Linked DNA regions of Xenopus tropicalis. The protein of the gene in region 1 interacts with the protein of each later gene in a biochemical or structural test. Links are inferred from orthologs where the notes say so. Each region holds a gene or a part of one and is shown in the gene's direction. Other genes may lie near its edges. The genes, in order: slc9a3r2, pten, tbc1d10a, slc9a3, pdgfrb, abcc4 and kcnj1.

The links.
Region 2: the proteins of slc9a3r2 (region 1) and pten form a complex in vitro, tested with the Homo sapiens proteins (2 studies listed by BioGRID and IntAct, with this or other methods). The link is inferred for Xenopus tropicalis from reciprocal best matches to the Homo sapiens genes NHERF2 and PTEN.
Region 3: the proteins of slc9a3r2 (region 1) and tbc1d10a form a complex in vitro, tested with the Homo sapiens proteins (2 studies listed by IntAct, with this or other methods). The link is inferred for Xenopus tropicalis from reciprocal best matches to the Homo sapiens genes NHERF2 and TBC1D10A.
Region 4: the proteins of slc9a3r2 (region 1) and slc9a3 form a complex in vitro, tested with the Homo sapiens proteins (2 studies listed by BioGRID and IntAct, with this or other methods). The link is inferred for Xenopus tropicalis from reciprocal best matches to the Homo sapiens genes NHERF2 and SLC9A3.
Region 5: the proteins of slc9a3r2 (region 1) and pdgfrb form a complex in vitro, tested with the Homo sapiens proteins (2 studies listed by BioGRID and IntAct, with this or other methods). The link is inferred for Xenopus tropicalis from reciprocal best matches to the Homo sapiens genes NHERF2 and PDGFRB.
Region 6: the proteins of slc9a3r2 (region 1) and abcc4 form a complex in vitro, tested with the Homo sapiens proteins (2 studies listed by BioGRID and IntAct, with this or other methods). The link is inferred for Xenopus tropicalis from reciprocal best matches to the Homo sapiens genes NHERF2 and ABCC4.
Region 7: the proteins of slc9a3r2 (region 1) and kcnj1 form a complex in vitro, tested with the Homo sapiens proteins (2 studies listed by BioGRID and IntAct, with this or other methods). The link is inferred for Xenopus tropicalis from reciprocal best matches to the Homo sapiens genes NHERF2 and KCNJ1.

What each region holds. Positions count from the first base shown.
Region 1 is NC_030685.2:18,898,693-18,903,034, forward strand, and holds part of slc9a3r2 (Na(+)/H(+) exchange regulatory cofactor NHE-RF2), read left to right. Parts: intron 1-1,650; coding exon 1,651-1,804; intron 1,805-2,381; coding exon 2,382-2,419; intron 2,420-3,187; coding exon 3,188-3,253; intron 3,254-4,342.
Region 2 is NC_030683.2:12,974,826-12,979,763, reverse strand, and holds the start of pten (phosphatidylinositol 3,4,5-trisphosphate 3-phosphatase and dual-specificity protein phosphatase PTEN), read left to right. Parts: upstream 1-1,484; 5' UTR 1,485-2,034; coding exon 2,035-2,113; intron 2,114-4,938. UniProt on the Homo sapiens protein: Dual-specificity protein phosphatase, dephosphorylating tyrosine-, serine- and threonine-phosphorylated proteins.
Region 3 is NC_030677.2:144,386,492-144,389,833, forward strand, and holds the end of tbc1d10a (TBC1 domain family member 10A), read left to right. Parts: intron 1-808; coding exon 809-963; intron 964-1,048; coding exon 1,049-1,546; 3' UTR 1,547-2,505; downstream 2,506-3,342.
Region 4 is NC_030682.2:72,332,212-72,336,991, reverse strand, and holds the start of slc9a3 (sodium/hydrogen exchanger 3), read left to right. Parts: upstream 1-1,324; 5' UTR 1,325-2,001; coding exon 2,002-2,167; intron 2,168-4,780. UniProt on the Homo sapiens protein: Plasma membrane Na(+)/H(+) antiporter. Exchanges intracellular H(+) ions for extracellular Na(+) in 1:1 stoichiometry, playing a key role in salt and fluid absorption and pH homeostasis.
Region 5 is NC_030679.2:21,229,952-21,234,293, forward strand, and holds part of pdgfrb (platelet-derived growth factor receptor beta), read left to right. Parts: intron 1-737; coding exon 738-1,004; intron 1,005-1,409; coding exon 1,410-1,537; intron 1,538-2,606; coding exon 2,607-2,775; intron 2,776-4,266; coding exon 4,267-4,342. UniProt on the Homo sapiens protein: Tyrosine-protein kinase that acts as a cell-surface receptor for homodimeric PDGFB and PDGFD and for heterodimers formed by PDGFA and PDGFB, and plays an essential role in the regulation of embryonic development, cell proliferation, survival, differentiation, chemotaxis and migration.
Region 6 is NC_030678.2:122,400,960-122,405,301, forward strand, and holds part of abcc4 (multidrug resistance-associated protein 4), read left to right. Parts: intron 1-2,252; coding exon 2,253-2,360; intron 2,361-3,769; coding exon 3,770-3,859; intron 3,860-4,342. UniProt on the Homo sapiens protein: ATP-dependent transporter of the ATP-binding cassette (ABC) family that actively extrudes physiological compounds and xenobiotics from cells.
Region 7 is NC_030683.2:72,348,359-72,353,266, reverse strand, and holds the start of kcnj1 (ATP-sensitive inward rectifier potassium channel 1), read left to right. Parts: upstream 1-1,624; 5' UTR 1,625-1,719; intron 1,720-4,908. UniProt on the Homo sapiens protein: Inward rectifier potassium channels are characterized by a greater tendency to allow potassium to flow into the cell rather than out of it.

The sequences.
Region 1 (4,342 bases):
AATGTACAGGTTAACCCATGGGACCCATGGGTTTACCCTTAGCTCAGGCAGGTTAGAGATGAAATTTGGGAGACCATTGTGGGTTCAGGGTGGGTGTGGATCAGAACATTTTCTCTGCTTCCAAAGTTTCCCTTTCTTGCATCCTAAGATGAACAAAGAAGTAGTGTACAGAACAGAAAGAAGCGGGTATGGGTTGAGTGTGGGTCCTACAATGGCAACGTTTTACGGGTTAGGGTCAGGTGTGGGTGAAGGTTGAATTTTTCCTGACCCGCACATCACTAGACAGATATTGATTGCCACCTGGGATGCCCATCTGGCTGGTAAAAACACTCCCTGATGCCAATAGGGAAAAGGGTTAAAAATACAGGATTTTTTTCCAAGAAAGGTTGGTATCCTTAGCTCCACCCACTTACAGAATATTCCTTTGGCACGCGTCTCATAGAATCATTGAAGACCAAAAAACAGCTAATATATCAGGGAATGCTTAAGATTACGGACACATATTAATAGCCTATTATAGTTTTATAATAATCCAAAGGTGTTAGGACCAAGGGTTTCAACTGGGGCAGAAGGGGGGAAACTGGAAAAACTTTAAGTGAGGGAAAAGTGCCTCGGTATAAGCCATATTTCTATTAAACTAAACAAGAGAAGCAATAGCAAGATAAAATTTAAGAAAGAGTACAAGGGAGCAGGGGGCTGCTATGAAAGAACTCTGCGGCCCAGTCAGAGCACAAAGCAATTGTTTCTGTCAGGGGAAAGTAGCAGCCGTTGCTAAGAAACCAGGAAGAGAGGCCCTGGTGTTTGTTTTCATTGCAATGGCTGAGGGCAGGGAGCAAGGAAACAGACTTCTTTAGCAAAAACGGGGAGCATTAACCCCTGCAGCACCATGAGAACTTGACCTGCATTGGCAGGACCAACCCCCTTCTCAGACAATTGCAGCCATTTCTGTGGTAAAACTAATAAAAAACAGCGCAGTCCCTTGTGTTTAAGTTCAGATCAGGAGTGAGTCTTGGCGCTGAACATGGCATTACAGGCAGGCTGGCATTTGTGTATACACAGCACTTGTGGGTATGTAACAGTCAGAGGAGGCAACAGTGAGGTACCATCACTTCCCAGCTTAGTAATGTGTTCACAGACTAAATACAGTTGCGTATCATGGCTCTTAGTTTTAGGTTAGAACTGTAAAAGTTCAATCACTGGTCATCGGTGGTTACAGGGTTTGGATGATATAATGTAGGGTGGGCTAATGTAGTAAGAGCTGTTTGCTTCAGGTCTAGTAACCCATAGTAACCAGTCACCAGAAAGCAATTACTGGTGTGCATTTTGAAAGGAAACATCTGATTGGATACCATGGGTAAATAGAGCAAGAACAAACTTTGCACTTGAATTCCTTCACCTCTAGGATCCTCTATCTACCAGCCATTGTTTTCCATGCAGTACTGCTTACGGTGCTGTCTTCTTAGCCTTGATGACAATGATGTCTCAATATGTTTCCATCTATTTTACGTACAAACATATTGCTTGGATATCCTCCATGTTAAAGTAAAGCATTCTTGGGGACCCAATATAAATTAACACTGCTCTAGGCAATTAAACGTCAGGTCCCAAACAACTTCAGACTGTGCCATAATCTCATGACTCCCTTTTTAGGTGAACGGACAGAATATTGAAAACATGAAGCATTCGGAAGTGGTGGCCAACATCAAATCCAAGGACAATGAAACAAAGTTACTTGTTATAGACCAAGAGACGGACGATTACTTCAAGAAGCTCGGGATTGCCCCCACTGAGGCTCATGGAAAAGGTGTGGAGATGACTTCTGTCTTGCGCACCACCTCTGTTGAGGCCTAAATAGAACATCCATTTGCTTGAAACCCTAGAGTAAAATATTCTGCCACCTGCCCTTGTACCCTGAGACCTCACTTGTTGGACATATTTTTTTCTAAGGATAATAGCACATGGGGTGTTGTGTCCACAGGCTAAACCTCCAGTTACACCTCCATCTCCCATTGACTTTAGTCAGGTTTTAGGCCCCAAAATGTGCAAAACATCACGCAGTTTCAGGCACTTCTCAGCCAACTGCAGTAGTGCAAAATAAGTAATTTCTTAGCTCCTTGTCATATGTATAAATGCATATGAACAAGAAAGATCTTTCTGTGCGCTATATAAGGTATTATTTCCATATACATATGGGTTTTCCCTGACGAAGGTTCTAGTAAGGAACCGAAACGTTGGACCAATAAACCTCACCTTATTGCATCTGACTATGACTTGTTGTTTGTAAGTACTATTGTGCAAATCCTGTGAGTGCCGACATTTTTTACTTTATTTCCATATACATATATATATATAGTTATTAACTACTTGTTTCTTTTCTTCAGGCACCATCCCCTTGACCAACGGTGTGACCCCTACACAGGTCAGTATTGCCCAAGGCTTTTCCTGCTTTTCTATCAGTACCAGTGAAAGGAATGCAGAATCCCATATGTTTTCTCTGAGTGCTAGTGATACTTGATTGGCCGCTTGTGGTGCATCGCAATGTTTCAGGCATTTATTAAGCTTTTTACAAACAGCTCTAAGATTTTTGACATTCTTTTATAGTGCAGAGAATTTGGCAACTGCAAGTTATAGCAAATTATAGTGTGAATCTTTGGACGCTACCAAAAATGAACTTTATCAGATATTTTGAGATCTTTAAGATACTAGTAATACAGAGGTAGCTAATATGTGGGAATATAAGCCAGGAAATGCAAACCTGCCTGCCAAGGCTTCTCTGAGGTTCTCCCTTCCTTTTGCTTCCACCTTGTTTTAATTATGGATTCTAAATACGTTGCGGTTTAAATATGTCAGTTTGTGGTTGATTGTAAGGAGGAGAAACCAAACAAATAAGTTCCACTGAAACCATTATCTGATAACAACTAAAGGATGCTGGGACTTGTCCGAAGGCTCTTTCCTTACGTTTAGGGCAGTGGCACACAGGGCAGTTTTGGTTCTTTGGACAAATCAGCCTCCGTTTTCTGCTATGACCTGATACTGCTGGTGCAAGTACTCTATAGTTCCTGGGGCACATAATGATTGCCACAGCAGCAAATGGGGGCAATTTTTGGTAATTTTGTACCATTCTATGTCTCTGTTAACTTCCACCAAGAACCAGCAGTTTTGTGACATCATGTCTTTTGTTTTCCAGCTGAATGGAGACTCTTCAACGTCTTCATCTCACAGCGATCTGCAAAGCCCGGATAAGGACTCACAGGTACAATGCTGCTAAACTAGAGCCTGGGTAAAGTTGCCACCTAACCAGTTTAAAATCCAGACACATACTGTATAAAACCTCCAAGCTGAATAGCTAATTATCAATCCATTTGGGTACACATTGCATAGGTGCAGTGGTCTGCAGCTTCCATCTAAATTAGCCTTGCAAGATGTGGATTTCAGATATTTTTAGTCTTGTAAAAGAGAGGCAAGACCCTAGTGATACCTACACTTAAATAAATCCTTATGTGCAGGAAATGCCTATAAGCAGTCTAGAAATTTTGTATATGCCCTACTCAAATATATATATATAGAGAGAGAGAGAGACAGTAGTATGACCGTCTGTGTTCTTTCTAAGCCTGTGCATCATTTTCTATGTTAATCTGAAACATGAGGGGTCATTTCAAAGCATTGCTTCAGCCCGGCTGCAGGCACACGCAGTGTATTTCATCCAGAAACTGCTCAAGTATGCAGTTTTGGTCTGAAATGCACTGCGTCTTTCTTAAAGGAGACATATCCTATAAAAATTAAGAATGTACCAGAGAATTATACTCCTCTAGATAAAGAAGGAATGAGCAGTTCCACCTGCAGTTCCACCTGCTGGCTGAATTCTCTGGATGAGCTGGGGAGCCGGCGGCCCTCCGTACCCTGCACTATAAGATAGGAACCAATCAGCAGCTAGGCTGACCTGATAGGGAACTGAAGCCTGTCTTTGCTTGTGTGAGTGCAGGGCTGTGATTGGCTCTCCCCCTCCTACTGTGCCTCTGGCAGGGACCGTTAGGACATGCCCACTCTCCATTTCAAACTCGGACAGAGAAGTGATAGGATCTATAGGGAGCTCCAATAAAGGGGCCATTGTTACAGAGAGGATTAATTTTTAGCACAAAGTGAAACCAGCACCTTATATTATTCATAATTGCCTACAAAATTAGGGTTTTCCCATTTATCCTATATGTCCCCTTTAAACCCGGACAGAATAAATGATTCCGGTTGCAGACACAACTTTTAGATTTTTAAAGTAGATGGGCAGATTCTCGGCCTGCGCTTATCTGCAGGGGATATAGATGGCATTTCGGTAGATTTGTCGTAC
Region 2 (4,938 bases), on another chromosome or scaffold:
AGTCACTGAGTATCACTCATGTATTATAAGGGATAATGTACCCCCTACTGTAAATGATAAGGATATTAGCAGTCACTGAGGGGTTCTGTGCCCATATAAAGGCACAAGGCTGCAGGCTGAGTTATACAGGGAACTCTGAGTATCACTCATGTATTATAAGGGATAATGTACCCCCTACTGTAAATGATAAGGATATTAGAAGTCACTGAGTATCACTCATGTATTATAAGGGATAATGTACCCCCTACTGTAAATGATAAGGATATTAGCAGTCACTGAGGGGTTCTGTGCCCATATAAAGGCACAAGGCTGCAGGCTGAGTTATACAGGGAACTCTGAGTATCACTCATGTATTATAAGGGATAATGTACCCCCTACTGTAAATGATAAGGATATTAGAAGTCACTGAGGGGTTCTGTGCCCCCCATATAAAGGCACAAGGCTGCAGGCTGAGTTATACAGGGAACTCTGAGTATCACTCATGTATTATAAGGGATAATGTACCCCCTACTGTAAATGATAAGGATATTAGCAGTCACTGAGGGGTTCTGTGCCCATATAAAGGCACAAGGCTGCAGGCTGAGTTATACAGGGAACTCTGAGTATCACTCATGTATTATAAGGGATAATGTACCCCCTACTGTAAATGATAAGGATATTAGAAGTCACTGAGGGGGTTTGCTCATGTTGTAATTAGGTTTTCGACTAAAAATGCGTCACATCTTGTCAACATGGTAAAGTTGGTGCTTATTTTTTTTCCTAAAACACAGTCCCAGCATATAACACTTATACCATGTACAGTTATAACTATATTCTACACACACGTTAATATACACATGTATAAGGAGAATGAGAATGCAAGCTGAGCCATGAGTGTGCTGCATGTAGCCAGACTTTGCCTTGTGCACCATCCCCCTAACAGTTAAAGGCCTCTCACTTTTTTGTATTCATGAGAGAGGAAGAGAGGGAAATGAAGTGCTTGAAAAAAATGACATTTACAAAGTGCCCCCTCCCTCCTCTCCTGCACCACGTGACCTCTCCCCCCCCCCCTCTCTCTCCTCAAGGAAAAAAGAAATAGTTCCTTATATCCTTCCGCGGTAATGCAAGATTCATATCTTTGAAAGGGTGTCTTTACCATTAGAATGTGTATTTTTTTGGCTAAGCACCCCAATATCCCTTTGGGAAAAATAGTTAAGAAGAGGTGCTGATTAGTGTAAGGCGGCTGGCGGGATAAGAGGTGACTGTGGGGGTCGGATGATGTGGCGCTGTGAAGAGAAGTATTATAAGCGGAGGGATCTGTAGGATTTCGTCAACCTGTGTGGAACTAAGAACTGCAGCTCCGGAACTACATTTCCCGACCGCCCAATCCCTAGTCTGGCGGCGGGAGGATCGGTGGGGGTTGTAGTTTGCTAGGGTGCAGATCACTGCGCAGTGGTGAGAAGGCGCGGAAGGATCGCACTGGCAGCGCTACAGGCGGAGGGATACGCGCTGGCTTTTGCCGAAGGAAGCCATGATGGGAGCCTGAGCGTGTGGCGGCGGCGGGCTGAGGAGACATGAGCAGCAGCGGCGGAGGCGGTGGCGGCGGGCGGGCTCCTGCACACGGCACTGAGTAGAGGCCGCCTGAGAGAGAGCACTTTCCGACCCTTCCCCGGCCCACAGCACGGACATAGGGAATAGCCGAACGGATATCTTGTTCTTTTTTTCCTCCCTCCCCGCACGCAGCCCCTGGGGGAAGAACCCGCAGAGTGAGGGGAGGCGCGGCCAACCTTTCCCCGTCAGGCTCAAGCCTCCGCTGGACGTGATTGTAGGCCCTGAGCCTCCCGGGGAGCTTGGGTAACCCCCACCCCCGGCCGTACTCTGGCCTCCCCCGGCAACACCAGCAGCGGCGGCGGCAGCAGCAGGAGGAGGAGAAGGGGGAGGAGAGGAGAGCCGAGCGGCCGGGGGGGAGAGGAGCCGGATCAGGGGGCCGCTGCTGCCCCCCATTCCCTACAGCAGCCCCTCTCCTCCTTCTTCCCCACCCCCAGGTTCCCCGACATGACCGCCATTATCAAGGAGTTCGTCAGTAGGAACAAGAGGCGGTACCAGGAGGATGGATTCGACTTGGACCTGACCTGTATCCCTTCCTAGCACCATCCTGTGCCATCCCCTTCCCCCCTCGAAAAAAAAAAATCATGGCTTTAGTGTGGTGGGTGGGATGCTGGGAATTGTAGTCCAACATCTACTTGGATATATCCCTTTTTCTTCAATGTCTTGCTTGGATCTGGATATATACACGGGGGGCTGATGATTTGGCATCTGCAGAACCTCTTGGCGAGGGAAGAATGTGCAACCTGTCAGTCACTCTGCTCTCAATGTCTGCGGATGGTTATACAGGGGGGGGGGCACCTACAATAATGGGATGGCCCATGTTGGAAAATTGGAAATTCAGGGAGCAGCGGGGTTCTTGGAATGTTGGGAAAATAAGGGTTCAGTTGTTCTACGGGGGTCTGCTTATGCTGACTGTGGGTGCACCCATTCCAGGGTTCCTTTTGGGATTCGGCCAAATTCTGCCATTTTTAAGGGTTCGAATTTGGCCGATTCCAAACCCTAAAAGTCATGTGACTTCATGGCCCTGGACTACCAATCATAGGCACTATATATATATATATATATATCTCAGGTGAGATTAGGGTTTTGCTTCGGTTCCAAAAAATGATGCATTTGGGGCATCCCCCCTAATCCTGACCATTGATTGTTCCCATGATTCCTGCAGGGAAACTAGTCAGGTCCTAAATCCCCTTTGGCGAATACGTTAACCCTAATACCCTATAAATCGGGTCATTGGGAGACAGCCATTGTTTGGAGACTATAGAACATATATATGTCCCATATATTAGCAGTGGTCTAAGGCTAAGACACACAGAGCTACTAGTAGCAGCTACTTGTCGCAGCTACTAAAATAGACAATGCTGATCATTTACTGATAATTGTCTCTACGTGTGTTTTAGTAGAGGCAATTCTCAGTATTTTCTATGGCAGGGGATTTTCTGGTATTCAGTAGCTGCTACTAGTAGCCCAGTGTGTCTTCACGCTAAAGCTTTATTAGCATCGCTGTAGGTTACCATTCAGTCTTACCTGTATTTTAATCTAGGGATGGTCCACACTGAGGCCTCTTAATATTGAAACTCCCTGGAAGTTCGACTTCCATCCTGTAAAATGGCCCTGGCTATGCTCTGGCATTGTCCCATTGCTCTTGGTTCCTGTGGAACCTCTTAGAAAGCGGAGTTGCCATGCTGTAAGGCTAATATTTAACAAGCGGTTCATTATTAGCCATTTACAGAGAGTCCTGCAAGGTAATGCAAATAGATGTGTGCTGCAGGATTCCACGTAGGAATGTAGAGGTTATATTGCAGTGCCCGCTTCATTGTATATGATTGCCATGTCAGTGGGGGTGTCTTACATTAATACATTCTCCCGATTTATTATACCGCTGCACCTATGTTTGTATGCTCAGTGCCCTCTTATTCTCAAAATGAATCCTTTTGGATCATGTACTGAATCCCTTGGTTTTTAGATTAAGCCGAACACCACCTTCTTGGCATAAGATTCAGTAATACCGAACCTTGATTGGCATGTTCAAATTTAAGCGACGTTCCCCAAAAATTGTGGATTTTAATCTCATTGCCTTAAGGGTTCGGTTAAAGATTCTGCTGAAAGGCTGCGATTCCCTCCGATCCCAGATTCTGTGCACGATGAGGTAGAAGGTTTAATATGGTTAAGGCCGCTGCAGATGCAGAACATTATTGGCTTTGTTCCCATAGTAGAGCACAGTACTTGGGCAGTATTCTCTTTCCATTCTAGGAAGTTTTTTTTTTTTTTTAATTTTTATGAAAAGTGTTCCTCTCCCTGTGAGTGTAGGCTTTGGCTGCCCAACAGGATGTGGAGGAGCGAGTTGTGGCGCTCCTAGAGGGTTTTTTTTTTTTTTTTTTCTCAAGCCAGCCTTCGTTTTAGTATGATGCAATTTTAATCTAATTTGGTCCTCTGACATTTGGTATTTTAGATAATTGGCCCACAGCGTGTATTGAGTTGGCTAGGATTAAACGGTTCTTTGCAGTTTATTCCAATTTTTTTTTTTCGCATGTTACATTCTTTCTTCATAGATGCAATGTAATCATGGGAGCTGATTTTTTTTCTTTCTGTTTGCATATGAGCTTATACGGGTGTTAACCCCAATTCCTGCCCTGACTGACCTTGAAGGGCAAATGGTAATTCCCCTTGCTACTTCTTTATCATTGGTTGCTGAACAGTGGGACAATAATTTACTATGAAAAGGTTGCATGGCCTATTGTATGACAGTTAATATATGCTTTTTTTCCCTCTGATTACTTGACTGCTTCACTTGCATTGGGCAGGATGCGAACCACTCTCTCTGATTTAATAGGCAGCAATTAGGTCCAGACTAAAGGTGCTCATGCACCTTCAGATCTGCTCACTTGGCGATGTCGCCAAGCGAGCGGATCTTGTCCCTATACCCAAACCTATGGGTGGGCGATATTAGGAGAATCCAGGCTAACAGCCCTGGGGCCATACGATCAAGGGTATAGGAAAAGTCGGTCCGGGGACCGCATCAACAAACCGATGCGGTCCCCGATCTGACTAGATTTTTAAACCTGCCCAATTGAGATCTGGGCGATTTCAGGCCAGATATCGGTCAGGCAGTCCCGTCGGTAGTGCCCATACACGGGCCGATTAGCTGCCGAAACGGTCTAAGGGACCCATATCGGCAGCTAGAATCGGCCCGTGTATTGGGACCTTTAAACCTGCTGCCTGTGCAATCAGAGAGTCTGTCCTGCAGAACATGATGGCTACTGTAAAGCAATGAGAGTGATAGAAAAGAGAGGTTGGCACATCACATTTTAATGAAGTGCACATTCACTGAAATTCCAATCTATACAGTCA
Region 3 (3,342 bases), on another chromosome or scaffold:
CCTGAAATTGCATCAGCCTGGAGTACTTCTGTGGAAGCCCCATGGAGCAATCCTCCATTTGTAATTAGTCTATAGAAGCATACTTTATAAACATTATATTGTAGACATAAGTCTACAATATAAACATTAAATAAACCCAATAGGATAGTTTTGCCTCCAGTAAGGGATTAATTATATCTTAGTTGAAGTTACTGTTTTATAATTAAAGAGAAAAAGAAATATTCTTTAAAGATTTGAATTATTTGATTAAAATTGAGTCTATGGGAGATGGCCTTCCCATAATTTAGAACTTTCTAGATAACGTGTTTCCGAATAAGAGATCCTATACCTGTATATACATCCCTGCAGCAGTGTATGTATATTCATACAGAAGTATGTATGAGCCATCATTTGGATGTCATGTCTGTGTGTGTGTGTGTGTGTGTGTAACTTCCTGTGCTAAATGTCTCTCGGTGTGATTTTTATTATTTGCCGCTTCATCTGCAAAATTTCATTTTAACACGCAAGAGACTTGTTGCTATTATTGCTAAGGCACGAGCGGGCATTTTGCTTCTCATGAAAAAGTGGTGCCTGGCATTAGGGAATGAGATGCTGAGGTTGATGCTTAGCAGGGAGAGCGAGAGATTCACAGAGATGTATTTGGTGAAGGTGTTCAGGTTCAAGGCATTCAGGTCAGCATAGGCGGATTCATATGGTGGGGTAAGATGCAGAGGCTGATTCTGCATTAGGAGGGTTGTATTTGATTGGTGGTATGTTTTCAGATGCTTTATTTGCGTTTGTTGTTAATCCAACCTTTCCAATTTTGTAGGTGTTAAAATAATATTTCGCGTTGCGTTGGTTCTTCTGAAATACACTATTGGCTCTTCTGAGAAACTCAAAACCTGTCAGGGTCAGTACGAGACCATGGAAAAGCTAAAGGCTATCGAACCTCAATACATGTATGAGGGTTTCCTAATTGCAGAGGTGAGATTCTACAGCCTTCACTAATCACCTTTAGATATGAAAAAGAATACTTGTAAGTGACTTATTACTGTGTTCTTTCTCTTAGATATTAGACATTCCAATTACAGAACGAGATATAGAACGTGAGCATCTAATTCAGCTGAAGAAGTGGAAAGAAGAATTTGGGGAGCTACAGTACAAATGCCCTTCCCGCATGCATGGGTCCAAGGCTATTAGTGATTCTGAAACTGCAAGCCACAAGCTATTGACACACTCTCCTTCTATCATTCTTCCTCCCGATACAGCCACAGGACGGAAAAACAAGAAGCATGAGGAGAAAGAACAGGAGAAACAAAAAGCCAAGGAAACAAAAGAGAAGGAAAAACAGGAAAAAGAGAGAAAGAAACTAGAGAAGAAGAAAAAGGGCAAAGGAGACCAATCTAATGGAGCAGTAAAGGAGGAAAATGGAGGAGGAGGGACTATAGACCACCGGCAGGAACCGGAACAGTCTCTGATCCCTAAGCAATCCCTAAATGCAGCAATTAAAATGCACCAATCCAATGAGAGCTTGTGCTCTAAGGAAAGTGAAGACACCTATTTATAAAGTGTTTCCGCATTTAGAAAATGTAGGGATACAATCACCTTTCCTCTCTCCTAGGTGTCTCCATCAGGCATCCTGTAAGCTTCCACACACTACCCTCTAAATCACAGCTATATTGTGTAATAGCTTCAAAGTGACAGTGAGTAAAAGTGAGGGAAGGTAAACCTTTATGGAACTGGGAGGTGTAGAAACTAATCTGGATGGATAATATTTGCACATGGTAGGAATTTATGGATTATAAACATAGGACTGTACCGAGTTTACAACCATGCCACATATAACCATACTTTAGTAAGCTATGGTTTGAACCTAACACTGAAAGCCTGTTCTGCCTGAGAATTTTTTCCCAAGGCTCAACAGAAATGAGCAGTAAAATTCGGGCCACAAAGGGCAGTTGGAGAAATGTCATCCACTGTAGACTGTAAGATAATTTTCTGATTATGACTGGTGTCACTGTAAGAGGTGCCGAGTGCGCTCCCTGTACCATTCCAGATGTCTGACTGCTAAGAGCAGAACATCATCTACTATGCACAAAGATCTTATTGTTTTCTTTTTCCATGGGACCAACAAGAGAAGCTACAACATGAGGGCTCTCTTCCTTCATCCCACAGACACTCATTGTACCAATAAATGGATTAAAAGAATAGGAATCTTGCACCATATTCCGGTACAATGGAGTGTTTGTACTCTTGCCATGTCCAGTCTTAAAAGAGGAAATCTAAACTTGTAGTCAAGGAAATAAAGGATATACATTCAACATTACCTGATCGACACTATCTACCCCCTCCTGACACTACAGGATAGGGTTTGTATTACAGAATGTATTATATTGTTATACTAAACACAGCCAAGCAAAAAAAATATTTATTTATCTATGGTATTAGCTGTTGCAAAAAAAGCAAATAAAGAAGCTTGCCAATATTTAGATTTAAAATAAAAGGATTGTTTCCTGTTAAAAAATATTTGATTGTATTTGTTTTCACTGTTTCAATGTGTCATATTAAACTATGAAGAAACAGAGTTAAAAAAAACACATACATACATGACCTGTTATCCGGAATGCTTAGGACTTGGGGTTTTCCAGAAAAGGGGTCTTTCTGTAATTTGGAACTCAAAGGGACACCTGGGACATTGGTTGGAAGGTAGGTGAAATTCAGTTGCAGAGCTGGTATCTGTTTTTTTTTAACATTTTGGCACTTTCCAGTAAAATAGACTTTACATTCTTCAATGTCCCCTTTCTTTTCTACATGCACAGTAGGATTATAACTTATAAGCAAAACGCTTGCTTGACGTTCTACTGTGCATTTGTAACCGTTGAGCAGTGGAAGATGATGTGATATGGTGCTTTTACAGTAGTGAGTTTTCAGTGAACAGGAACACCAGTCCGGGCTATCAGGTAAGCAATTATATTAGTTGGGGTGTGCCTGACATTTGGCACCCCCCCCCCAGTGATTATAACTTTCCTTTTACTTTAAGTACTTATACTGCTTTAAGGGCTCTGGCACACGGGGAGATTAGTCGCCCGCGACAAAACTCCCTGTTCGCGGGCGACTAATCTCCCCGAGTTGCCATCACCTGCCATCCCACCGGCGAAAATGTAAGTCGCTGGTGGGATGGCACCCACGCGGCGGCACGATTTCGGGAAATCGCCGAAAAAGCCTTGTGAGGCAACTTCGGCGATTTGCCGAAATCGCGCCGCCGCGTATGCCATCCCACCGGCGACTTACATTTTCGCCGGTGGGATGGCAGGTGATGGCAACTCGGGGAGATTAGTCGCCCGCGAACAGGGAGATTTGTCG
Region 4 (4,780 bases), on another chromosome or scaffold:
TACAAACTTAAGAAAATTAGAAAGAACATACTGATGAGGACTTTCTAAATCTATTATTTGCAAAAAGGAGTGTTTGCCTGATAAAGTTAAGGTAGATTGAACTGTGACTAAAGAATCTGTGTAGGTTGGAGGATTTGGTGTTTTTATAGAATTGGTTTCATTAGGCACTGCATACTCTCTTTTTCTAGGTTGCACTGAACCTTAAAAATAACGGTGCAGCTGTTATGAGGATGGTTAGGTTTTATCTGTCTTTTAAACTAGGAATAGGATCTGGTGTACTGAGATATTCTAGGGCAGGGACCCCCAAACTTTTATACCCATGAGCCACATTTAAATGGAAAAAGTGTTATACTTGGTTTTATGCAACCAAAACTAGCCTCCTTACCAGAAATTAAAAAATGAGCACCTGCTTTGAGGCCATGTTGCTCACGAGCCACTAGTTTTGGGATCACTGTTTTAGGGTATACAGCAAGGAACCTAGGCATATTATTGGGAACAGTGGGGAGGAAGTGGCAAAGAAAACCAGGAGGACCAGAGCCTCCTGTAGGCTGTATAATTGACTTCTGTAAACAATCTACAAATTGATAGCAATATATACAGTATATAAAGAATATTGCAAGCATATTCAATGCACCAAGTCTTATTAATGGCTTCTAAACATGATTTTGTTACCCAATAAACACAATGTATTCCAGTAGATTGCTTCCACCAGGCTTCATAGGCTATTTAGCCAATACATTTTTCTTTGGTATCTTTCACCATGTGTAACAATTGGTCTGGGTGCATATGTCCCACACCCTTCAATTATTTCAACAATTACAAACACTGACAAGCATGAAGGAGATTCTTCCACTACCGTTCTCTGTCCCTAATTCAGGTTTGGCACCCCAAACCCATAGATTAAGGAAAGTCTCCAAAAGAAATTAGGTGCACACACTAATCAAACACAATCTCAAGATAAACAGAACTGCCAATCAAGTGGGTAGGCTGACTCAAAACATAATATACTTTATGGCATGTGAAAGTCAAACAATAAAACAAAAAATTTTAACAGTATATATGCAGAGGATCTTAAACTGTGATTTGGTATGTTCCCTTGGTTGATTAGTCACAGGTAACCAGGTTCCTCATGTACTTCACTACACTACACTTATTTTGTCCCACAGTCTCTTTCTCACATAGACACGGTCACATACAAACACAGAAACAAGCACTTTTTTTTTCTCTCTCTCACCCACACTGAAACAGGACCAGTCTAACACCCTCCCTCTCTCTCTCTCTCTCTCACACACACACACACACACACACACTCCACCATGTGAACAGGCTGTGGCTCAGCCTCTGGATTAAGATCAAACAAGTATCAGGCTTCAGGTACATAGCAGAGAGACCCTGCTATCAGGAGACAGGCAGAAAACCAGCAGTTGCTGGGTCCTTTAGATTTAAATAACATCATGGGGACCTTGGGAACTTGCTTTTCCAGGGGAAATGCCAGGTGGGATTGTGTCAAGTAAACCTCATTGCCCCCTCCTGTGGATGCCTATATTTAATATTTGGTATAAAAAAGGCACAGTTTGTTAATGGAATTAGAGACACATTGAGATTATCCACTCATATCGGTTTGCATACCTGTGGGCACTGTGCAATTTTAGGGAGGGGGAAGGAGTTCACTACAAGTGAACAGTTTCATACAGGTGGATGTGGGCGGATTTTAACACAAAGCACCACCCAACTTGAACATATTAAAAGAGAAGCAGAGACAGGTTGGTATTGTTACAGATAGCATCCTTTGATTTTTATCGATTTAGGTAATTGACTTTTTTTTTCCCTTTCAACAACTCTACTGTGCATTAGCAGGAAGATACAAGGTATCTTGGGAATAGTATATTACACTTGATTAACCTTAAAGAACAGAATGGTGTGAAGAAGAATGGGTTTATAAACTTTAAATATCCTACTAAAGAAAAAATATCAAAATATCAAAGAAAAGTTACGCTAATAATGGCCCAAGTCAAAAGTGCAGGGCTTGATGCTGATGGAGAACAATCTGGTGGAGGGCATGGAGACATACCAACCAGTCTTCAAATTGTTACTTTTAAGTGGCACCATGTTCAGGATCCATACATAATTGCTGTTTGGATATTGGTTGCAAGTTTGGCTAAAATTGGTAAGTTATTAATTTATATTGTATTTAATTTTTGTTTTTACATTTTACAGTTAACTAGGTACACAGCTGATCCCTAACTAAAAAAAAATATTCAGGGTTACAAAAAATGCTAATATTCAAAAAAGTATAAAAAATAAAATAAAGTGTTTATGGGTTTATATATGTCTATAAAGGTTACCAAAAGAGTTGTAGGCAGTAATGTATATAGTATAATATTATTGGGTAGAATGTTGTGTTTACAAATTTTAACACTACAATATATTTATATTTACATACAGTAGTTTCTGGTGCTGTGAGACCACAGTTGTAAGGGAGGGGGATTTAAAGTAGGAGAGTTGTACAGGTTTGGGATTCAATATACGGAATCCTGTTATCCAGACAGCTCCGAATTACAAGAAGGCATTATAAGCAAATAATTCACATTTTTGAAAATGTTTTTTTTTCTCTGTAATAATAAGACAGTATCAGTATCAGCACTTCATCCCAGCTAAGTTATAATTAATCCTTATTGAAGGTAAAACAATCAAATTGGGTTTATTTAATATTTAAATTATTTTTAATTAGACATAAGGTATGGTGATCCAAATTACAGAAAGACCCCTTATTCAAGCATGCAAGGTAACAGTTCCCTTACCTGTATTCAATCAAGCTTATTTTTAATCTCACATTTTTACTTGCTTGAAAGACTGTTGATGATAATAGATGAATTTATATTTATTCCATTAGTTCTACTAGGCAAAAGTACTGTTTGGTAAGGAAAGTGATTATATAGATACAGATTAATGTACTTAGAAGTCACTATACATTTTTTGTAGAGGTCATGGAAATCTGAGGTGACTTCAGCCTTAAGTTAGACTTAAGTTTTAGTATGGTGAATGTTATGCTTTAATTATTCAGACTGCTGCCTATTTACTGTCACGCACAACCCCCATTACCTTCACCCCAACATACATCCCAGCACCAGCCCCCACTTCCCTACAAGTTTCACTTACTGTTCTATAGCTCCCTCAGCCTAAGCCAACCAGACAGATCTTCCTCTTATTACAGGCCCCCTTCTGTTGTCCCACAAGTTTCACTGTACACAGTGCCTTCTTTCCCGTCAACATTTGTCCAGCCTCCCCCACCAAGCTTTTTCAATTTTCATTCTATACTTTAAAAGTGCTGTGTAGGGTTCTCTTCTCTCTGCCTGAATTTTGTAGGCAGGTGGAGAGAAGCAGATCCACTCTCATCTGGAGTTCTGTGTAAGATGCCCTTGACAGGCAAAGTGTTGGCCTAAGTGTAGCTACATGGAGTATCAGTCCTAAAATGCAAAAGCATATATTTTTGGGACAATATCTGTTTGGTGCTGCCCGTCAGTGCAGCTGCAGAGAGCTGTGGATGAGAGCTGGCTGAAAGAAGTGGACCCTACACAATAGGAAGCGTAGACATGAACTTTTTGAAAATCTGTTTTAAGTATATTTTCCACTTGTCTGACAGTGTTTTACCATTAGCGAAGGTATCAATGGTCTTCTGAATGTTCTCAGAACACTGTTATTAGTTATACTTTGTCTTTAAATTAGAAATCTTAAAAGATTTGCAAATGAGATTGCGGTTTGCGAGAGAATGTCCTCTACATGTGTTTATTTTGTGCAAAAAAAGGCATATTTTTCACTTTGTGACTATACATTCGCAATTTGCAAAATCAGTTTAGTGAATATTTTTCCCACCCCTTAGGTTGTGGCTTAACTCAGACACAAAGTGTGATTATAAATGTTTGCAATTGACGAATATGCCACATTTTAAAAGTTTTTAAGGACATTTGCATTGCGAACAAAAATTTGCAATTATGTTTGCAACATTAAATGCACCAGTCTTGTCCAGCTTTCTAAATATAAAAACTGGCAAGGCAAATATGTTCACTGTGCGAATAATTCTGCACTGCTTAAATTTAATAGTTTGTATTACGTTTGTGGCTACAGCTTTGCTACAACTTTACTTTTTTGTTTTAAGAAACTCGCATAAACTCCTGAGAGTTCTTTCCTTAAAAAAATTCAATCATAGATGTATTTATTAATAGTCACAATAATTTGTAAGTTGATCGTACGAAAGTTTCTTGAAAAATTTTGGTGAAGGTTTTATGAACAATCGTGCGAAATTTCAGTTTCACTTGAAATTGTGTGAAATAGAATGGCATGAATGTTCCCTTTCCTCCCAACAGCCAATCAGCAGAACAATGGGAAGGTAGCAGCTCCCTGTAGATATCAGAATAGCACTCAATAGTAAGAAATCAAAGTCCAGCTTGGGACTCCTCCTGTTACATTGGAGTAGAAGAAATAATAGGTTATCTGAAAGCAGTGTGTAATGCTGGCTCCTTCTGAAAGCTCAGAATCAGGAACAATGCACTGAGATGGCTGCCTACACACCAATATTACAGCTAAAAAAAATGTTGGTAATACAGTGTAATTTAGGAATTAAAAGTACATCATAAAAATCATGACAGAATTCATTTAATCTTAAATTTTCTAGTAAATGTGGTGGGTACAAGATCATGTTTCTGGATCTTAAACTTCAGAGATGAGGCAATAATTTATGAATCCCATTGGTTTATATATTTATTGCAGATTCGTTTTATAA
Region 5 (4,342 bases), on another chromosome or scaffold:
TGGTTATTCTAGCCTAAACTGCACCATATCCTGAGATGCCCAAGCATTATTGCATAGAGCAATTTTGTTTTACAGGTATAGGATCTATTATCCAAAACATTATAATTTCCGGAACTGCGATTGCCAATAGAGAATGCATTTTGGCACCAAAATCTGCCCCCTGCAAAAACCAATGTCCTGTTTAATATCATAATTTCTACTCCAATGGAAAACACCCCACCTCCCAGGTTATCCCAGATCCTTGATTGTCATTTAAAAAATACTGACCAGAAATGTTGCAGGATAATAACAGTAGTTTTAGGAGGTACTCATGGTGATTCATACCACTGAAAGAAATGAATTTATAAAGGGGAACAATAACTTTTAATTTTCAATTTGTGTCTATCTTAAATAAAATATTAAGAAGTGTTAAATTATATTTCTTTTCCAACTTAGCTTCTGTGAAGTTATTGCTGACCCAGCTGTCAGTTTTAAGCTTGCCGAAGATGCCATTATCTCGGGCTAACTGACCACAACCTCCCTCAGCACCCATCTATTGTATTATAACATATATTTGGTGTGACTAGCTGTACTCCTTCTTAGGCCATACAAATTGATACCAGAAAATTGTGTAGAGCACAAGTCTACATGAAATGAAAATGGTTTATGGCCTATTGATACCAACTGGGGAGGACTCATAATATTGGCCTACTGAGTATAACAGACTAAACATTTTTTGCTTTCTGATTCCTCCTTAGATCCATCTATGGTTTTTCTGCCAGTGAAAGAGAGTGAAGAGTTTATTTTCATTATTCACAATGTTGAAAACATCATTCCGTGCCGAGTGACGGACCCAAACATGACTGTGACTCTCCATGAGAGAAAAGGGGATACTGACATCCCTATGCACTACGACAACAAGAAAGGATTCATAGGGGTTTTCAGTGATATCAACTACTATTGCAAAGCTTCAGTTAATGAGGAGGAGGTTTACACAGAACCATTTCATGTCTATAGTATACAAGGTAGGTACTGAAGCCATAGATTAGAAAGTAGCAGAGTGGGTATTGGAACAGTCATTACTTTGTTAGGAAAGGGATATGACTTTTATGGTTATATTCTATATTTTGTGTTCTGTATACACCCTTATCTCTGGCTAATAATTTTTGCCAGTGCAACCAGTCAAAAGCTTAGTTTAATTCTGTTTGCAGTAGACCAATAACAGTTAATTTCTGGATAATGTACTGTATATGTCATAGTTTGCCTTGAGTAGGTGCCTTTGTTCTCTACGGTACAGCTGCAAGCACAGCAAGGATTCTTTTAAAGATGAAATTGTAATAAAAAAAAAATAAAGCACTATACTAGAAAAGAGTATTGTGGGACCTTGCTTTTATGCTTTTTGATTTATTGCTCCTCCCTTTTGCTTGTAGTTTCCACAATCGACATGTCAATTGAAGCAGAGAAGGACTTGGTAAAGAGAGGTGAAAATATCACTGTTAGATGCATAGTCACTAACAATGAAATCCTGAACTTTACTTGGGATTATCCTGCCAAGAAGGTAAGATGAATATTTCTATCCTATGGATAGTGTTATACTACATGTCTATATAACCAAATTGTAATGTCACATTGTAAATAACATTAGCTAGAGAGCAGCAGAACAATTTGAAGGGAGCAAGATAGCAGCTCCCAGTACATATCAAAATAGCACTCAATAGTAAGAAATCCAAGTCCGGCTTGGGACTCCTCCAGTTACATGGGAGTAGGAGAAACAATAGGTTACCTGAAAGCAGTTCTAATGTGTAGCGCTGGCTCCTTCTGAAAGCTCAGACTCAGGCACAATGCACTGAGATGGCGCCTACACACCAATATTACTGATAAAAATACATTTGTTGGATCAAGAATAAAATATTAAATGGAAGAGTGGATTATTTGCTTTGTAAACAGTGTAATTTTGAAATAAAAAGTATACAATCAAAATTACGACAGTATCCCTTTAAATTAACCTTTAGTATTAAGGGCCTGAATAGAAAGGTAAGTGCAGGTGTTGGATCCATTATCTTGAAACCCCTTATCCAGAAAGTTCCGTATTGCGGAAAGGCCATCTCCCATATACTCCATTATAAGCAAATAATAATAAAGATATAAATAATCCTTATTTGAAGCAAATATAATATTTAACGTTTAATTAAACTTTTAATCGACTTAAGGTATGGAGATCCAAATTATGGAAAGATCCCTTATCCGGAAAACCCCAGGTCCTGAGCATTCTGGATAATGGGTCCCATACCTGTAATTAAAAGTAACAATAAAATTGTAGCCACACACAGCAACATTTTTTTGGCTGCCAGGGTCACTGATCCTCATTTGAAGCTGGTAAAAGGCAGAAGGGAAATAATTTTAAAACTATAAAAAAAGAAAATATGAGAACCAGTTAAAAAGCTGATTAGAATTAGCCATTCTATGACATAGGAAAAGTTAACTTAAAGGTGTACTACCCCATTAACATTCTATCTGGGGACAGCTGAGGAGCCGGCCCAGAGGGGTTTATCCTTATCCTTTCTCTATGTGATGATTTTCCTAATAATCATTTTATTTTTATTGAATTATTTGACCTTATTTTACAGATAGGAAGGACAAGCACCCCGGACGTGATATTTCTGCCCAATAACAGCATAGGTTCTGTTTTGACCATCCACAATGCTGATCTCGATGACTCTGGAACGTACAGTTGCAGCGCTGTGGAGATGACATTGGATCAATTAGACTCAAAAAATATTGATATAACTGTAATAGGTATGAATGGTTTTTCCAGAATTATTATTTTTGAATAGTATTTTGGTATCGCTCTGGGTTCCCCATAAAATTATAAAGGTTAAGTTAAAAACTAATTTATTTAGGACAAGGAAAGGCCTAATGCCTGTTGGGGTATTTATTCATAGGTGAGTACCCCAACTGGCATGAAACATGTTAGGCTTTTCCTTGTCCTAAATAAATTAGATTTTAACATAATCTTTATTATTTTTAATTTTTTTTTGGGGGGGAACCTACATCTTTTTGAGTGAGGTATCCTACACCCACAGACTGGGGTGTTTTGTGGGCAATTCTCCCCTTGTATAACTATATTCTACAAACAACTAAAATGTAACTTCCCCATTCAAACATCAATTACTGCTTTCTGCTGCTTTTGTGCAAATAGTATTTTGTTATGGCAACATGAACACCAAAAGGGGTCATTTATTAAAGTGTCATGTGCAAAGAAGAAATAATAATGTGCCATGTTTTTACCCAAAATACAGTATTCCTTTCTAGCATTCCAGCATTATTTATAAGCACATTTTTACTGGTTAGTAAATTGTTTGCAAATGGGAAAAAAATTGCACTCACAAGGGGAGGAGAAGCACAGTACATAGACATGGGAGTACATAATTAGGTGGATAAACAGAATGCAAAGGGAGCCCTGCACATACTGTTTGGCCAAGGCATTTATTAGTATAGGCAGGGCTGCCATCAGATATTATAGGGCCCTTACTATTACTTAGTTGACAGGGCCCTTGCCCCAAGGGAGTACAGCTTATTAGCCCACCTCGGGGCTGGACCCTGCCAACCAAATAGAATGGTATTCTATGAAAAAAGGCTTAACTAAGTTGCATGCCTGGCCATGTCTCAGATCAGCCCCTGCCGCAATCAGCGGTCCCTATAATGCCCACTCCTCCACAAGCCCTACATATTTATGATCTGTGAACTGGTCACCTGACTAGGCTCACCCAGTCCCCACACACACATATTTTCCCTCTGCCTGGGTACAGGGCTCCCCTACACCGGTGTGTGATGCTCATGCACCAAAGGAGGAGCAAAAAGGAGAATATAACTTGAACACCCTTCAGACATTTTGACCCTTTTTCCACCCATGGAGGAATGTAATAAAAGTCGTAAACAGAAAAAAAATGCACACAGATAAAAGCAAAAATTCACATTTCACAATATAATGTTGTTAATTAGACTATTCTTGCATTGCAAATTTTAATGGCGCTTTAAAAGAAATTTTATGACATACACTGCGTACTGTCGCAAACAATAACATTTGCAAACTTTCTTCCATCTTCGGAAGTGGTCGCTAAACAACTTTGGCGTTCACAAAGCCCATATTAAATTCGCACAAAGGCTAATTTGTTTGCACAGAGGCAGACATTTTGCCCAATAGACTGCATACCTGTATTTATATATGTATATATAGTTATATGGGAGTTGTATATCTTGCCTAAAATGTTAATTCTCTTTTTATAGAACAAGGATTTGTAAATATAATTACGAATGAAAGCAGCATATCCTATACTATCCAGCATAAAAGCAAATTATTTAG
Region 6 (4,342 bases), on another chromosome or scaffold:
CGCCGGTGGGATGGCATTTCGGGGAGATTAGTCGCCCACGAACAGGGCGACTAATCTCCCCGTGTGCCAGATCCCTTAAAAGATTTAAGCACCTGATACTTAAAGGAGTGATTCACCTTTAATGTAACTTTTAGTATGTTATCGAAAGGCCAGTTCTAAGCAACTTTAATTTGTCTTCATTATTTACTTCTTATAGTTTTTGAATTATATGCTTTCCAATGGAAGTCAATGACCCCAGCAGTCAAAAACTATTGTTCTGCGAGGCTTTAGTTTTATTGTTATTGTTACTTTTTATAAATTACTTTTCTATTCAGGTTCTCTACTATTCATATATTAGTCTCTCATTCTAACCACTCCCTGGTTGCAAAGGTAATTTGGACCCTGGCAACCAGATAACTGTTGAAAATGTAAATAATTAAAAAAAAAACTACAATTAAAAAAAATGAAAACAAATTGCAAATTGTCTTAGGATATTACGCTCTACATCATACTAAGAGGTAACTCAAACCCCTTTGTGTTTGGCTTTCTTTAGGATTTGTGCTATTTAGTTACAAAGTCATAGAAAATTAAAGAGATTTTACAATAATGTATATTTAAAGCACTAAAAACTAAAACTTTTAACTTTATTTTTTATTATATCAGTCTTCAACTGATATTCATATGCTGATAATTAGATGCTGAAGTAAAGCTCTGCTTCACCAGTCTCCACTGGCATTTGCCCAATGGAAATAAATTATAAATAATTTTTAACCAGAAACCTTTTTTTCTAGTTTAATGCTTTATAAATGTTACTTTAGGCTTGGAGTAAATCTAAAAAGAGGTTTAATCTCTTCTTATCCATAGTAGAGATGATGACTGTGGTGACTTTTATTGTCTGTATCAATAGACATTCTGAAATATCTTTACCTTTACTTTCCGGATAGTTTGTTAAAAACCAGATCTCCAGTTTGTAATTTCAGTCAGCAGCTACATTACAATTTACCTTAGCATTTAGGCAGTGGTTTAAATGAGACTGAAACATGAATAGAAGAGGGTAGTAAAGTAGAAAAGTAGTAGTAAAAAGTAATGATAAAATTACAGCATCACAGTTCAGTAGCATTTAGACCCCCACGGTGACTGCCACTAGAAGCTTCGAAACAAGCATATGAAAAGGGCAAATAATAAAAAGAAAAATAAAGACCAGCTAAAAGTTGCTAAGAATAGACATTCTATAATAGGTGACTTAAAGGTGAACTACCCCTTTAAAGTGGAGTATACCCCTTTATTTAACATGAGTGCAGTGTATGAGGCTTGTGCTGAAAATACTTTTTGCCTGTTTTATTAGCAGGGCCTTGCCAGGGCTGTATTTGTATGTAGCCATCCGTTGGTCCCCTGAGGGAGGGGATGAGGGTTTCACACCGCAGTGTAGGGTAGAAGTGACGTCACACATAACAGGAAGTGATGTCATGCGCATGATGCCTGCAACATAGGGGTCGTAGGGTGGCACCGGACCTAAATACAGCCCTGCTCCTTGTGAAGTAAATAATTAGTTTACCAGTATACAACCCCCTCCCTTTCCCCTTTCTTGTGACTGTTTTGTTAGCAGGAGTACAGGAGTACATTATATAGGGTAATCTAATAATGTACCTTGCAAACATGGAGAAGCATAAAGGAGAAATATACCCCCCAAACATGTAGGTCTCTATAAAAATATATTGCATAAACAAGCATATATGTAAAACCCTGCGCCATCTAAATAAACATAAAAATATACTTTTTTAGTAGTATGTGTAATTTTTATTTGCCATTTTAAGAATTAAAATTCCCTTGACAAAGGCGTTTGAGCTGAAACGTTGGGGTATTCTCTCATCCAGAGTATTTGCCTTTATTTCTTTTTTCTACCTTTTGCTGGGTGGTACAGTATATATTTATTTTTGCACTGATGGATGTTGTGTGTTTATTCTATGAATGCAATATTGCTGTTACACAATAATTTTTTTTAATTGCGGTACCACCCTGGTATGTCTTTTCCTATTGTGCAAGGTTTATATGTGGGTTTGTACAGCATATTTCAAGCAGCCAGTACGTGTAATGTGAGAATTGATAATGCATGTAATTGCTTAAAGCCATGCTGCCCTGACTTCTGACTACAGCAGTATAATGGACATGCTAAATTTAATTGTTGATGTTGTTCCATTTTATTTAAAGTGACTCCCTTTAATTGCTTTCTTAGATTTTATTTCTTTGTATCAACTCTGTTAGTTCTGTTACAGAATTTTTTATTGCTGGATGAAATCTTCAAACCAGCCTTAGAACTGCCAGAGGAAAATGAAGAAAACCTTTTAGTTCAAATTCAAGATGTTACATGCTACTGGGACAAGGTAAGGTAAAAATATAAATAGTATTGTTTTTGAGCAGAGACTGATCTGTGTAATTTAAAGAAAAGAAGGACATTATATGTCAAACCAATAGGCTTTACATCCCATGTGCTGTAGGTCACACTCTGCACCTCTTCCATAAACGACAAAAATATCCATATGAATCATGGCAAGATGTAGTTGTTTACTGCAATGGCTTCAGTAGGGTAGTTTCTCTAAGGCTTTTCTTCCTAGATGCTAGCCCTGCCATGGGGAGCATGGGTCTAGACTACTGATTGGTGGTACAGTTGCATGTTGCAAACTGCATCACTTGTTATATATCCATGCATTATACAAGTACATTGATACTGGTTACTTATAATTTGTACAACATGTGCATTTTACAGGTGGTCAGTAGGAATGTTCAACTGAAAAGGCTCTAGCCACCCCAAGTTAAAGGAACAGTAACACCAAATAATAAAAGAGCTTTAAAGTAATAAAAATATAATGCACTGTTACCCTGCACTGGTAAAACTGGTGTGTTTGCTACAGTAGCACTACTATAATTTATATAATAAGCTGCTGTGTAGCCACGGGGGCAGCCATTCAAGCTGGAAAAAAGGAGAAAAGGCACAGGTTACATAGCAGATAACAGACAAGTTCTGTAGAATACAATAGTGTTTTATCTGTTATCTGCTAAGTGCCTGTGCCTTTTCTCCTTTGAATGGCTGCCCCCATACTACACAGCAGCTTATTTATATAAATTATAGTAGACTTTCTGAAGTAAACACACAACTTTTACCAGTGCAGGGCAGCAGCACATTATATTTTAGTTACTTTTATACACTTTCATTTTTTGGTGTTACTGTTCATTTAAGGAGCAGGACTTATTACTTTTCTTTTGGAATCTGTACTTGATTGTGTTTCCAGCTGCCCTTGTCAATATTTTCAGCAGTGCAAGTAAAGTTGGGAATAAATGCTAAGATGATTTGTTGTGGTGGGCTAAATCAGGCTAATCTTTTTCCCCTACAGGCCAGTGATTTGATTTTGTGGGGGGCATGTGCAGAACTAAACTGCTATCTGTAACCTGTCATCACAGTGCTCCTACATAAAATATTATCTATCTTAAAATTTGCCCCATATTTAGCCCTTTTGTGGAACTGGTGCTTGAAGAAGCATCTTCCTATAAAAATGTAATCAATAATAACACTATTAAAGAAGATGAGTCTAATGATAATAATAACAATTAGAATTAGAATAAGAATTAGGAAACCCCAGTAAGGCAAGATAAGGAAACTATGTAAATAATGTTATTATTCAGATTACTTTATAATTTATAATAGTGTTACTATAATATAGTATTTTAAGTTTCATGCTAGTTGTATTCAACTAGAAAATCACAGAGGCCTAATGATGTATTACATTTATTACAGACATTGGAAATTCCGACACTTCAAAATATCTCATGTAGTGTAAGGCCAGGGGAATTATTGGCTGTGATCGGACCAGTTGGAGCAGGGAAAGTGAGTATTTTGTATACATTTGATAGATTCTGATAGCACTGAAAATTGAAGTGGAATAAAAATGCTGAAACTTCTTTTATTTACATATATTATGTAACCTCTATTTGGCTGTAAAAACAGGCAGAGCCAGCCATAATGGCTTTAGAGCATGGGATACGTAGGACTCTACACATCAGATGGGCTTTCGCTAAGTGAAAATATCCTTGGGCTGTAGTGCAACTTATGCTGTGTGCAAAGTAATTGGAAATAATGGACGCCAGAAGGTTCTTGCTGATGAAACAATAGAGCTGGGTTTATTGTCCAAGACAAATTAGTATAAGGGTGTGGTCAACCTAAAAACCAATAGGCATATAATGCAAATTGTAAACTAGATACATGGGTCTTTGCCCAGTAATAGCATAAAGAAGGAAATGGTAGGGTTTAAAGCCATAGGGGCATATTAACCCTATGGGTCCCTACAATTACTTGAAATGTTGGTGAAAA
Region 7 (4,908 bases), on another chromosome or scaffold:
GACACAGGATGAAGCAGGGCCCAGTATTGGGCTGCATTGTCACTGCAGTGCTGCAACTTGCATCTTGGCTGGATTTGGGACAAGGTATAAACCAGAGGCTGGACTGAAATCCCCTGCCACAAATGCTCTGTAACTATGCAATCATGGATGCAATTTTGCACTAAATACTCCAGTACACAAGGGAGGGGATTTCATAAATTACAGCTAATAAAAATGTTTGAATAGATTATATATGTGTCATTTTGGGGAAACATATCTAAAGCTCCGCTTAGATCTACAAAGCTCTCTGACCAAGCATCTAAGCAGACAATGGGCTTGATTCATTAAAGGGCAATAAAACGAGCGCTATTTATAGCATGCGTTAAAAATTTGATCACGTTTTTATTTTTGCAACTTACACTTGATTCACTATAAGGAAAGGCATCATAATTAAGACTCAATGTTCTTTGCGTTATTTAACTCGCAATGAGTTTTTTTCTTGCGTTAATTCCCCGCGTGCGCGTTATTTCCTGCTGCACGAGATATACAGTATTTCACTGCTTGCTATTTTAGTGCACAATTTTACACACGTAACCATTACTTTCGGATAACTACTGTTCTGAAAATTACCATTTCCCTGAAAACTGGAGGCTGCATCACTCTAGGGCCAACACATACTTTAAAAAATCCCACTGCAAAGTCCATATTGTGTTGCCAAAAGCTCACGAACCACAATTTTCTTTAATTAACGCCTGCCCCAAGTAGGTGTTAATATTCCCACAGACTAATGCAAAATTTAGTGCATTTAACGCTTCATGTGTGTTTGTGAATCACATGAATGCGAGGTAAATAACGCATTGCGGTAGTGCATTTTTTTGCGCATGCGTTATGCGTCAACACATGCCAAATGACTTTGATGAATCAGGACTTAATTATTGCATGCTTTTTAACACAAAAAAGCATGCGATAAGCGTTATCGACCTTCAGTGAATCGGCCCCAATATGTTTTTTTTCTATTTTGCTCCCAGAAGCATAACATAATTTGGACAGACCCCCGTAAAAAAGAATTTTCAGACCCCGTCAGAAACACTAACTACCCTGGCCCCCCATTCACTTGCAGAGTATGGCAAAAGTAAGGTCTGCTGTATGATAGTTAGCGCATCCCCGGCTACTACATTCAGACATTATATGCACTATTTACATTGACCACAGGTTAAAGGATTAATCTGGATCTATAGGTGTCTGTCTTTTAAGGTATCTACTAACCTCAAATTAGGTCAAACAGGTGGAAACTTGTCCGTAGATCTGGGTTTTGTTTACAACTGATCAATGATCATCTTTGAATTAAGCAAAAACATCTGTTCCTGGGGCTGGATGTACTATGATAGTTAAGGTTACGCAACTTCTGGTAAGCCCACTTCTGCCTTTTTTGCAATATATTATATAATTTTATATAATATAATAATATAATATAATGATTACAAACCAAATTGTAGCACAAGGGAAAAAGGTACTATTGTGATTGTCCTTGCAGCATACAGCTGCTGTGCTAACTGTTGTTTAGAGGCACTTAATTAGCAATGCCTTACTCCACCTTTTCCAGGTACAACCAGATTTTGCATGGCTGAGCTGGATATATAACAGAGCCTGCTAGCTCTGTCTAACTCATTAAGGAATCCAGTAAGGTAGAAGCCAGAAAATAAGGACTACCTTTAATAATACTTAGGCATTGGATAAAAGGTAAATATACAGTCTTTAAACTTAAAATAATATATATATGGCTGCAAAATTATCTTTTAATAGCTAACAATACAATGTAATGCTGGACATCCTTTTCACATCCTTTTCAACAAAATTGAAAATATAACCTGTTTTTATGTTGTGATTACTTTTAGTTTGTGTTTAGTATGACTGTTATTGGTCAGTAAAACACACGGGTATCTATTTTAAAGCTGTATATTTATATTTTTATGTAAGCAGGGACTATCATACTTCTTATTCATCTAAAGCAAAATCAACTCATTGATATAATGTAGAAACCATGATCTCGGTGGCCAGATTATCTTGGAAATGGCAGAACTCTTGCTTCATTTACTTCTCATTAGCACTGAAACAAAGAGGATTTTAAACATACAAATGCTCCACTAATCCGCAGGTGGCATTAAATAGTCTGCTTGAAAGCAAATGTCTGACAGGTTGCACTGGGTTCCTAGGTATGGTACAATTTTTGCTCTTTAAATCAAGATGCTTTAAATTACGTTCTAAATATTTCCTAATTTCCGTCTGATTTTTGTCTTTGCATATGAAAAAAATAGTTTGTTACCTTATGATTTATCATAATTATGCACTATTGCAGCTGAAGAGTCTGTATACAGTAGGTTGCTCAGTGGAGTATCAAAGATTTGCTAATTGTGTCCAATTGTATTTTTTTACCAGTTCAGTTTTTAAAGTACATCCTAAATTTGAATAATCTCACAGAAACAATTTTTGTGATACTACTACTTTTTTGATGGCTAAATGATCATTTACATTGTAGAATGCTTTCTTGACTGGGGACAAACCAGCAAAAGGGTAATATGAACCTTCCCCTTAAATTAGCCTACCCTAAAGAAATAAAAAAGGGGGGTGCACTTATGAATTTTCAAACCTTATAGCTTAGCCAAAGATGATGGATGGATGGATGAATGAACTGCTCATGAATTTGGTTTGACAGCTGAAAAGTTCTATGTTTTGCCTACATTATTTAAAGATATTGCAACTGCTGCTGACATGGCTGAACTCTTTATGACACTGATCTACAGACTGTTAATGAACTTACCTCTTTCTTAAGCTGTTGGTGGAATTTTAGGTTTTCAAGCAGTCACTGGATACAATTAGTAATATGAAATGTAGAGGGGAAAACAGATATGCAACTGGCCTCCCCCACTGCCAGTATATATATCCAAATAAAGATGAAGCAACAATACCTGTATAATCACTGTGGGGTGTTCCTAGTTGTTTATTGCGGTGCTTCAGATACAAACAGCAGGATCAAACGTTTCAGGACAATGATATGCCCTTCCTCAAGTGACTTGTTGTTGACTGGATACAATTAGGCCAAGTCTTTAAGTGACTGCAAGAGCATTTTTTACTTTTATTACTAGGAACTTGCACCCTAATCAGCCAGGAGCCAAGTCATATTAACTGGAGCAGGACAGGACACCTATTTTAAAGTCTGCTTTCTGCAGGTACAAAAATAAAATCACTTAGGCAGATTTTTAATAATTATTTTTTGTATAATTGTTTTCTGTTTGGGTTTTGTTTTAAGAGACCAGTCATCCTTTGTCATGACACTGCTTAGCTCAAGGACTGGGACAGTTGTGGTAAAAGTTATGTAATTGTCTACATTTTTTTTTAATTTTCAAGAAAATGTAAAGCACTGTTTAGGCCAATGGGATTTTCTTTGTGACTCTGTTTCATAGCAACATAAAAAGACAGGTATTGCTGCCAACAAAAAAGCAAACTACAAAAGTTTTGAATTTCACATTTAAAGAAAAGGTGTTTAGTAAAGGAAGTAACTAAACTGTATTTACCAATTATAGCTCAGTTCACCAGAATAATAGCTGCAATATTTACAGTAAAGCTATTTGGCACAGAACAGGACATCGACGTAAGAGTCTAATTTTATTCAATATAAATAGAGACATCAGCACAGTCTACTCATACTCTACCAGCTAAAGATCTCTCTTGGTAGGTGAATATTAGTTTTTTTTAAGATTCCTTCCCCTGAGTCGGTCCTCACTACTGGTAGCCTTAATTGTTGCTTCTGTGTTTCTTGGACACAATATTAGAGTTTAGCACTGCAATGACTATCATTTATGAGATTATGAGATACATGCTGGATTGAGCTTTTCATATATATAAGGTGAAATTTAAAAAGCACAGTTATGCATAAGTTATTTGAGGATTTACCATAATATTTTTCCCTATGAATTTCAATATGCAAAAGTGAACTCCAGGGGGAATTAAGTAACATAATTTCCCTCCAAATAACAAGATAAACACTTCAGAGGAAAGAGGGACAGGTTACAGTACAAGTTTGCATGTACCTGTCCGGGTAATCTATCAGGGTAATGTCTAATTTTTTTTCTAACACTTGCAGTAAGATCAGAAACACAATGGAACTATAGGTCTCCTAATCATGTAGAATGCGCAGATGCATTTAGAACCCAATAGATAGTTTTCCCAGGGAGGTGTTGTTTGTCATCTCCCAGGGGTGCGAGAGTATAGAAGGTGTCAGAAATCAAACACCACTTCCACTGTGCATAAATGTGTGATTGTATTCCTGAGTTAAGGGATTTTCTTATGTTTTTAATTAGTCTGATGTGTGTGCTGTATGTGTTGTAAATGGGAAGTATTTTATTGCAATTAATGACTTTCTTTTTAGTATTATTGCTCAGCCACTGGGGATAATAATTTGAGAGAATTCCAATTTGCCCTATATAAAGAGTCTCTTTACCTCTGCTAAATCTAAGAAAAAACATTTACTTATATAGTTCTGTTGGACCATTGGAGTTGGATCTAACTGTTTAGAGTCCTCAGTATATGTTTCCAGCTGCTGAGACTGTCCATTCTATGGGGACCAAATGGAGTAGATGGGGTATAGGGTTGTATACTGATGGATATCTAAGCTTACTTATTGTCTTGGATGCTCCTGAAAAGTATAGCATGTTGACTTTAAATGATATTAACCTTAACTTTTCTGCACAAAATATGTCAAATATAATATGATTTTTCAGCTGCATGGGCAATAGATTTTCATAGACTAGTTTTTCATGAGTAAGAAATACATTTTGCATTTCACAATGTAAAAAAAGAACCAAAAATAAATGTTTTTTTTTTTTACTCAAACACCTGATGATCTGCCTGTGTTGTTGGGACCAGCTCTCC